2 linked regions of the Callithrix jacchus genome follow. The protein of the gene in region 1 purifies or fractionates together with the protein of each later gene. This does not show direct contact. Links are inferred from orthologs where the notes say so. Each region holds a gene or a part of one and is shown on either strand. Other genes may lie near its edges.

What was found.
Region 2: the proteins of KDR (region 1) and CDH5 purify together in Homo sapiens (affinity purification with western blotting; 3 studies listed by BioGRID and IntAct, with this or other methods). This does not show direct contact. The link is inferred for Callithrix jacchus from reciprocal best matches to the Homo sapiens genes KDR and CDH5.

What each region holds. Positions count from the first base shown.
Region 1 is NC_133504.1:141,638,673-141,642,484, forward strand, and holds part of KDR (vascular endothelial growth factor receptor 2), read left to right. Parts: intron 1-636; coding exon 637-767; intron 768-999; coding exon 1,000-1,168; intron 1,169-1,791; coding exon 1,792-1,931; intron 1,932-2,567; coding exon 2,568-2,745; intron 2,746-3,812. UniProt on the Homo sapiens protein: Tyrosine-protein kinase that acts as a cell-surface receptor for VEGFA, VEGFC and VEGFD. Plays an essential role in the regulation of angiogenesis, vascular development, vascular permeability, and embryonic hematopoiesis.
Region 2 is NC_133521.1:23,890,123-23,894,502, forward strand, and holds the start of CDH5 (cadherin-5), read left to right. Parts: upstream 1-1,481; 5' UTR 1,482-1,545; intron 1,546-4,380. UniProt on the Homo sapiens protein: Cadherins are calcium-dependent cell adhesion proteins. They preferentially interact with themselves in a homophilic manner in connecting cells; cadherins may thus contribute to the sorting of heterogeneous cell types.

The sequences.
Region 1 (3,812 bases):
AAATGCAATCACTATTAAACATGATTTTTAGAAAGAATCATATCCCTGGTGTCCAGAATCTTAAAATGCTAATGTAAAAGATTATCTCGAATCACTGAATTCAAAATTGTTAGTTGTTTCCTGTTAATCTAAAGATCCTTTAGGATCCATTCATTTGTTTTCATGGCATCTACATTATTTACCTAAAGAGAGAGCGTATTAGTTTTTTGAACATCAGTAAAACTTGTCAGTAAAGTGTACAGATTTAACTTTAAATTTTAAAGTAAATATTATTCTTCATTTTGAAAAAAGTATAATGATTAATCTTTTAAAATGTGAAATTCATAAAAATATATTCTACTTGTCAATAAACCTTGTGAAAGGAGTCAATCTCAATTGGGAGTTATTTCAAAATTTTTATATACACAAATATATACATATGCATGTGCACACACACACACACACACACACACACCCTCCTGTAGCACATACTTGTAGCCAGGTGTCTATCAACAGAACAATCTGTGGATGACTTTGCTTGTGTGAGGCGTTACTTTCAGTCATTCACTTGTCTGGTTAGAGTTTAGGAACCTGAAAAATGACCAACTTTTCTAGTAAATATTGTTAACTCACTAAAGGAACTAAATTTTCTTCTAGATTACAGATCTCCATTTATTGCTTCTGTTAGTGACCAACATGGAGTCGTGTACATTACTGAGAACAAAAACAAAACTGTGGTGATTCCATGTCTTGGGTCCATTTCAAATCTCAACGTGTCACTTTGTGCAGTAAGTTGCATCTCCTTCAATTGTCTCTTAAGTTTTTATAATTTTAAGCTAATATTAAGATGGGAAGTCTGTTTATAATATTTACAATGAGTTTTAAAGTTCCTTTAGGAAGGGTCAAATACAATGAATACAATGAATTGGTATTCTTAAAAATAAGACGAATTCTTCAGTCATACATGGCTCTCATTTTTGGTACTGGATTAAATATTTGATATTTCTTTTTATTACCCAGAGGTATCCAGAAAAGAGGTTTGTTCCTGATGGCAACAGAATTTTCTGGGACAGCAAGAAGGGCTTTACTATTCCCAGCTACATGATCAGCTATGCTGGCATGGTCTTCTGTGAAGCAAAAATTAATGATGAAAGTTACCAGTCTATTATGTACATAGTTGTGGTTGTAGGTAAGAGGACAGTTCCTTTCCATATCATTAATAACAGACAGTAAAGAGTAACTCCCTGTATTAAGATCTTGGAGATTAAGATGTACAATGAAAAAGGATATTGAAAAGTATAAGAACTCAGGATATGGTGCTGGGCAGTTCATCTGCCCTTCTCTGCCAAATAAACCCAGGTGCAATTGAGGTTGTCTCTTTTCTTGCCAAGATCAAGGATGAAAAGGAAATTTTTTTTAAAAAAGGATGAAAATGAATGCTATTATTGAAGCACATTTTATGAAAATTTCAATGTTCAGAACATTGCTTACTATCAATGATCTTAATTGTGCCTATTTTATGGAACGTTCAGCAGTTTGCTAAAGCTAGCCCTACTGACCTAGGGCTACTGACCACTGAAAGTTTACTACTTTTCTATCCACTGGCTTACAATATCTTTGTGGTCTCTGAAGATAGTACTTTGTAAAGCTCTGCTGGCCTTTTTGCTGGGAGCTACCAAGTATTGGTGAGGCCTGCAGGGAAAAACAATGTCTCACATTTTAAAGTTGCATTCCTTTAAAAAATAACCTTGTGCAAAGTTATAGGCTTATTTTCTCTCTCATCTTCTGTTTTTTTCAATTTCCTTGCTCTAGGATACAGGATTTATGATGTGGTTCTGAGTCCATCTCATGGAATTGAGCTGTCTGTTGGAGAAAAGCTTGTCTTAAATTGTACAGCAAGAACTGAACTAAACGTGGGGATTGACTTCAACTGGGAATACCCTTCCTTGAAGGTAACACTAGTGATCAAAGCCAGACCTCCAAACACTTAGATAATAAGCCCCAATGAAGTTTGCTTGAGAGATAGGGGCCTCTTTGGCTAGATAAAATATAAGAGCCTTAAAACACACACAAACACACACACACAGACACACACACACACATATACACACACACATATTTTAAGAGAATTGCAGAAGAGATAGCACCCACAAAAAAGGTGAAATACCAGGAATTTTGTCAGGCTATGAATATCAGTTTTCTCTAGGTGATTACATCCTTCCACATTATATCATTTCTCTGTTCTCCAAAGTTTTTGATTTACATTCCCTTTAAGGGAATTTCTCTTTAAGAAGTGGCATGAGATATACCTGCGCTTTAAACATTGATCACATTTGCTGATGTTTCTGCAGTGTATATCCATCTCATTTTCACCATGTGAGGTTTTAAAAATCCTAATTCAATTTGTTCCATTTATTTCTGCTGAAATCAAATATATTTGTTGTCTACATGAGGTTGAAAGTTCCAGTGTCCCTATTATTAGCATTAAATAATGTTTACCAAAGGCTAATATTAAATTCTGTGGGTAACTAGAAGCTATTGGTTAATGTTATGCCATGCTTTGGTTGTTCATTCAACTCTTTTTTCAGCATCAACATAAGAAACTTGTAAACCGAGACCTAAAAACCCAGTCTGGGAGTGAGATGAAGAAATTTTTGAGCACCTTAATTATAGATGGTGTAACCCGGAGTGACCAAGGATTGTACACCTGTGCAGCATCCAGTGGGCTGATGACCAAGAAGAACAGCACATTTGTCAGAGTCCATGGTAAGCTATGGTCTCCTTGGAAATTATTCTGTGCCTTGACAAGTGAGATAATTTAAATAAATGTAGGTCACTTAGTGATTCCTATTTTGTTCATTTGGAAGATACTTTTGAGTTCTTCTTGTTAGGGAGGCCACATGATCTGGACGTCAAGAGCGTAGCTTTGTCGTCAGGAACTTGGGTTCAAACCTCAACTTTGAAGATGAGACGTGCTGGTGTATATTAAGTGCTCACTTCATATTACTTGCTATAATTGTTGCTGCTATTAGGTTACTATAATTAGTATTAGGTAAGGTAGTTTTAAAATTTTCACTTTATTGCAAGGCTGAGAGGCCTACTTAAATAAGCATGAGCTTTGCAGACTGGGGAAACATTTGGCAACATACAGCTGACCTGTGAATAACTCAGGGGTTGGGAAACTGACCCTCTTCTGCAGTCAAAAATCCATGTATAGGCTGGGTACAGTGGCTGACGCCTGTAATCTCAGCATTTTGGGAGGCTGAGGTGGGTGGATCACCTGGGGTCAAGAGTTCAAGACCAGCCTGGCCAACATGGTGAAACCCCCGTCTCTACTAAAACTACAAAATTTAGCTGGGCGTGGTGGGGGGTACCTGTAATCCCAGCTACTCAGCAGGCTGAGGCGGGAGAATTGCTTGAACCTGGGAGGTTGCAGTGAACCAAGATCACTCCAGCCTGGGCAACAACAGGGAAACTCCTTCTCAAAAAAAAAAAACAAAAAAAAAAACAAAAAACTAAGGTATAACTTTTGACTTCCACAAAATGTAACAAATAGCCTACTGTTGACTGGAAGCCTTACTGATAACATAAACAATCAGTTAACACATATTTTGTTTATTTGTATTATATAATGTATTCTTACAATAAAGCTAGATAAAAGAAAATGTTAAGAAAATCATAAGGAAAAGAAAATATATTTACTATTCATTAAATGTGAGTGGATCATGATAAAGGTCTTCATCCTTGTCTTCATTTTGAGTAGGCTGAGGAAAAGGGGGAAGAGGAGGAGATGGTTTTGCTGTCTCGGGGGTGGCAGAGGTGGAACAAAATCT
Region 2 (4,380 bases), on another chromosome or scaffold:
TCCTCCAAAAATATCCTTCCATCTCACTCCCCATCTTGTGCTCTGATTTGCTAAGCACCCCTGGGCCCTCTCTTTCTCAGGGTCTCTGCTTGCCCAGCTGTATAATAAAACAAGTTTGGGACTTCCCAACCAATCGCCCTGGAAAAACAGAAGCAACTCTTCAAAGGACAGATTCCCAGGGTCTGCCCTCAGAGATTCCAAATCATTTGATCTGGGGCGAGCCCAGGCCTCTGTAGTTGTTAGAAGCTCCTCCAGTGTCTCTCCTGGTTAGCAGAATCTTGGCCGCTCCCTTTCCCCAGCCTCCTGGATCTGCTGGGCTCTGGTCCAGCCTCAGTGTCACTGTCTTTCACATCCCTCTTTGATTCTCATTTATCTCAAGAGCTCTGTGATGCTGAGGCTGTGATTATCCCCATTTTATGGATGAGAAAACTGCAGCTCCAGGGTGACATGACTGGCCCAAGATCACATCAGAAGCAGAGCTCGGTCACTTGACTCCACCCAATTCCTAAAGGCAAATGGTTCCTACAGACCAAGGCTGGCATCCATGCCCACCCCAACCAGGAGAAGCCAACCTGGCCCTGCAGAGCCAAGAACTGCTGTCTCTTTCCCATCTCCTGAAGCCTCCCCATCACCTTTAAAGTCCATCCCCACAAAGACATCATGGGGTCACCAGGAAAATCAAGCTCTGGGGCTAGGCTGACCCCAGCGCAATTTTTGGCTCTGTTATATCCCAGCTGCGTGGCCAAGCACCTTAAACCCACTGAGCCTCAGCTTCCCAGGCTATAAAATGGGGGCAATAAGACCGGGCACGGTGGCTCAAGCCTGTAATCCCAGCACTTTGGGAGGCCAAGGCAGGTGGATCATGAGGTCAGGAGTTCAAGACCAGCCTGGCCAACATGGTGAAACCCCATCTCTACTAAAAATACAATAAATAGCTGGGCATGGTGGTGCATGCCTGTAGTCCCAGCTGCTCGGGAGGCTGAGGCAGAGAAATGCTTAAACCTAAGAGGCAGAAGTTGCAGTGAGCTGAGGTCACACCACCGCACTCCAGCCTGGGTGACAGAGCAAGACTCTGTCTCAAAAAAAAGGGGTGATGACACCTGCCTGCAGCATTCCAAGGAGGGTTAAATGTGCTGTTGCAGCTAAGGGTCCCCACAGCCAGGACCTTGGCAGGTGCTAGGCTCAGGGTCCCAGAGCTGAGGTCAGGAGTTGGGGTTCAAGTGGGGTGTCCCAGGTGGGGTCCAGGGCCAGGCCTCTGTGGAAACAGCTATCTGGGGCCAAGGCAGCCACCCACCGAGGGGCCTGCCTATCTGCAGTCAGCCCAGCCCTCACAAAGGAACAATAACAGGAAACCATCCCGGGGGGAAGTGGGCCATGGCCAGCTGGAAAACCTGAAGGGGAGGCAGCCAGGCCTCCCTCGCCGGTGGGGTGTGGCTCCCCTCCAGAGACAGTCGGCCAGCGGGCTCCACAAAGCTCCACTCACACTCAGCCCTGGACGGACAGAGAGCCCGACGGAATAGAGACGTCCCTCAGCCCGCAGGCACGGTGAGTGGGGCTCCCACATTCCCCTCCACCGCAGATCCACCACCCTGCGCCCAAAGCGGGAGGGTCTGTAGAATAGGTGTCCTAGTGCTCCCAGGACAGAGCAGCTCCTGAAGGGCATGCTGGGCCTCCTTGTGGCTCAGAGCAGGGTCGGGTAAGGTGCACCCAGAGGTGGTGTCAAGGGCACAAATGGGCATCTCGCAGGGCAAGGGCTCGGCTCTCCCACAAGTGGACTCTCCAACTCAAAAGGGCCCACTGGCCTTCATCGGTGCCAGGCTCAGAGAGGGCAGGATTCTGCCCCAGTCACCCATCATGCCAGGGCAGAGGACTGGCACCCAGGCTTTGGCCTCCCCTCTGTGCCTTTAACCTTACTGGAGAGGATTTACCAAGGCCTGACACCCCCTCCTCAGCCCCATTCCCATGCGCCACCGAAACTCTATGCTGGGATCTGGGGAGGGGCCCAAAAAGGGGAGCTCTGAGCCTCGGCCTCTCTCTATCTGCCAGTGCCAACATTTCAGAATAGGCAAACTGAGGCTTGGCTCTGGGCACTTGAGGCCCTGCCCGTGAAATCCCCTCCTTTCCCTACCCCAAAACCATAGGGGCTGCTGTGTGTTGGAGGGAGCCATAGTCGGGACAGTGCCACCCCCCCTTTCTCCTCTCAGCACCCTTTGAAAGGCTAGGGTGCCAGAGCCCCAAGGCCCTCACAGCCCAGGAAGTCCCCCAGAAGCAGGAGGTCAGGAGGTCAGGAGGTCTGGGCCAAGAGCCTGGCCTGGAGACAGCCGCCTGGGGTACAGATCCCAGCTCTCCCATTTGCTCTGGGGTGACCTTGGGAAAGCTACCTAGAGTTTCGAAACCGCAGTGGGGAATAAGAGATGACGTGGGCTCATTATTCTACCATTAACAACGCCACAGAGTAGACCTATTCTTTCTTTGTATCTCAGTGAAGGCAACTGAGCTTTAGAAAAATATGAGCCGGTGTGGGGATTTGAACCAGGACCTCATACCCCAAAGCCCCAGCTCTTTCCCCAGGTCTCAAGTGTCCTGTCTGTGAAATGGGGAAACAATGTTTCCTCGGTCAATCAAGTGAGGTGATCTACATCTCTGGTGCTGGGAATGGCACTAGGGCTTGAAGGAACAGTGGCTGGGTGTACCAGCTAGCCCAGAGCCCATCCTGGCTGTGAATGTCATAAGTTTTGACCTCGAGGTACAGTCAAGCCCCATCAGTGAGGGGTCCTCAGGTGCCCAGCAGGTACGAGAAAGGGGGTGCAAGTAAGAGGGCATTGCTAGCACCTCTGAGCACCTGCTCCACACCAGCCTCCCTCCCTGGCATGGACGTTTCTCCTGTGTGATGGGCAGATAGGATTCTGACCACAGAGGAAGGGCCTTCCCAGGAAGGCAGCTCTGAGGAACCGAGGGTGTACCTGGAGGGCTCCTTTGCCACAGGCCACTGGAGCCAGGGCCATGAGCCCTGGTCCGTCCTCAGGTGGTGGGAGCCTGGAATTCTCCTCTGCCTGCCCTGGAGGGCAGCAGGTACTCTCTGAGGAGCCCAAGAGCTGCTTAGGCCCCGGGCAGCCCTGCCAATTTCAGCTTACTGTGGTGAGGGGTAGGGGAGGTGCCTGGAAGGGGTTAAGCTGCCCGCCTGGCAGCCCCAGCCTGAGCTATTGTGTTGCTAAACAAGAGCCGGACATGAGGGCAGGAAGCCAGATAGGGCCACACATCTTCTGAGAAGCTGGATGATTCGCTGTTGACTCAGGGACACGCAGGGGACACAGTAGACACCGTCCCAGGAAGAATCTTCAGCCCTTTGGCTCACCTGGACCCATGCCTGGTCCCTGCATATTCTCTCTGCACCCCTTCAGTCACGCTGAAGTGACTACAAGAATTCCCATTTGACAGATGGGACCATCAAGGTTGAGGGAGGCTGTGAGACCAGTCCAAGTTTACACAACCAGCACGAGGTAGAAGAAGGGTGTGAGTGCAGTCCCTTCTGACCCACATTCCACAGTGAAGCTCAGAGGGGAAAAGCGGGGCAGTGCAGGCCACAGAGGTAGGCACAAGGACAAGCCAGGAGCCCGTCATCCCAGGGGGAGGAAAGTTCTAGAAGGCAGGTCCTGCCCTCAGGAGCTTCACTTCTGGCTGAGGAGATACTAAAAAGTCTGTCCTGACCCAGGTTCCAGCTGGGGTTAGGTGGGTAAATCACAGAGGGCTTGCTGAAGGAAGAGTGGGAATCAGAGGCCAGGAGGCCTCAGGCAGCCTCTCTGCAACCTAGGCCTCAATCTTCCCATCTCTCCAGGGTAGGGGGTGGTCCCTAAACTCATTCAGGGACGTCCAGGTTGTCTGCCTTAAACCACAGCAAAACAGTCAGGTCCTGGCAGGTCCGGATACTGGAAGGAGAAGGAAGTGGGACCCAAGGGCCAGCCAGGCGGGTGGTGAATGAGATTTCCTTCTGCAGAGGAACAGAAAGAGTACGAGGTGGGCCTAGAGTAGCGCCAGGAAATGAGGTAAAGTGTAAGTCAGCCAGTCGAGGCCACACCCCCCAGGCTGGAGGGAGTGGGTAGATAGGAGTCAAGATACCCACACACTTACTGAGCACCTACTGTGTGCCAAGCTTTGTACCCATGATCTCATTTAATCCTTCTGCCCAGGGAGGCAGCCATTGTTGCCTTCATTACAGATGAGGAAGCTGAGGCTCAGCAAACAGGGGATGAGCTCAAGGTCACACAGCTCCTGAGCAACTGGGCAGGTTCAAACAGGCAGGTGCAGCCCCTGCTGCCCTCACAGTCTGGGACAGTCAGGAAGCCCAGAGAAGGCTGGAAGGCTCCTTGGCATGACCATTCT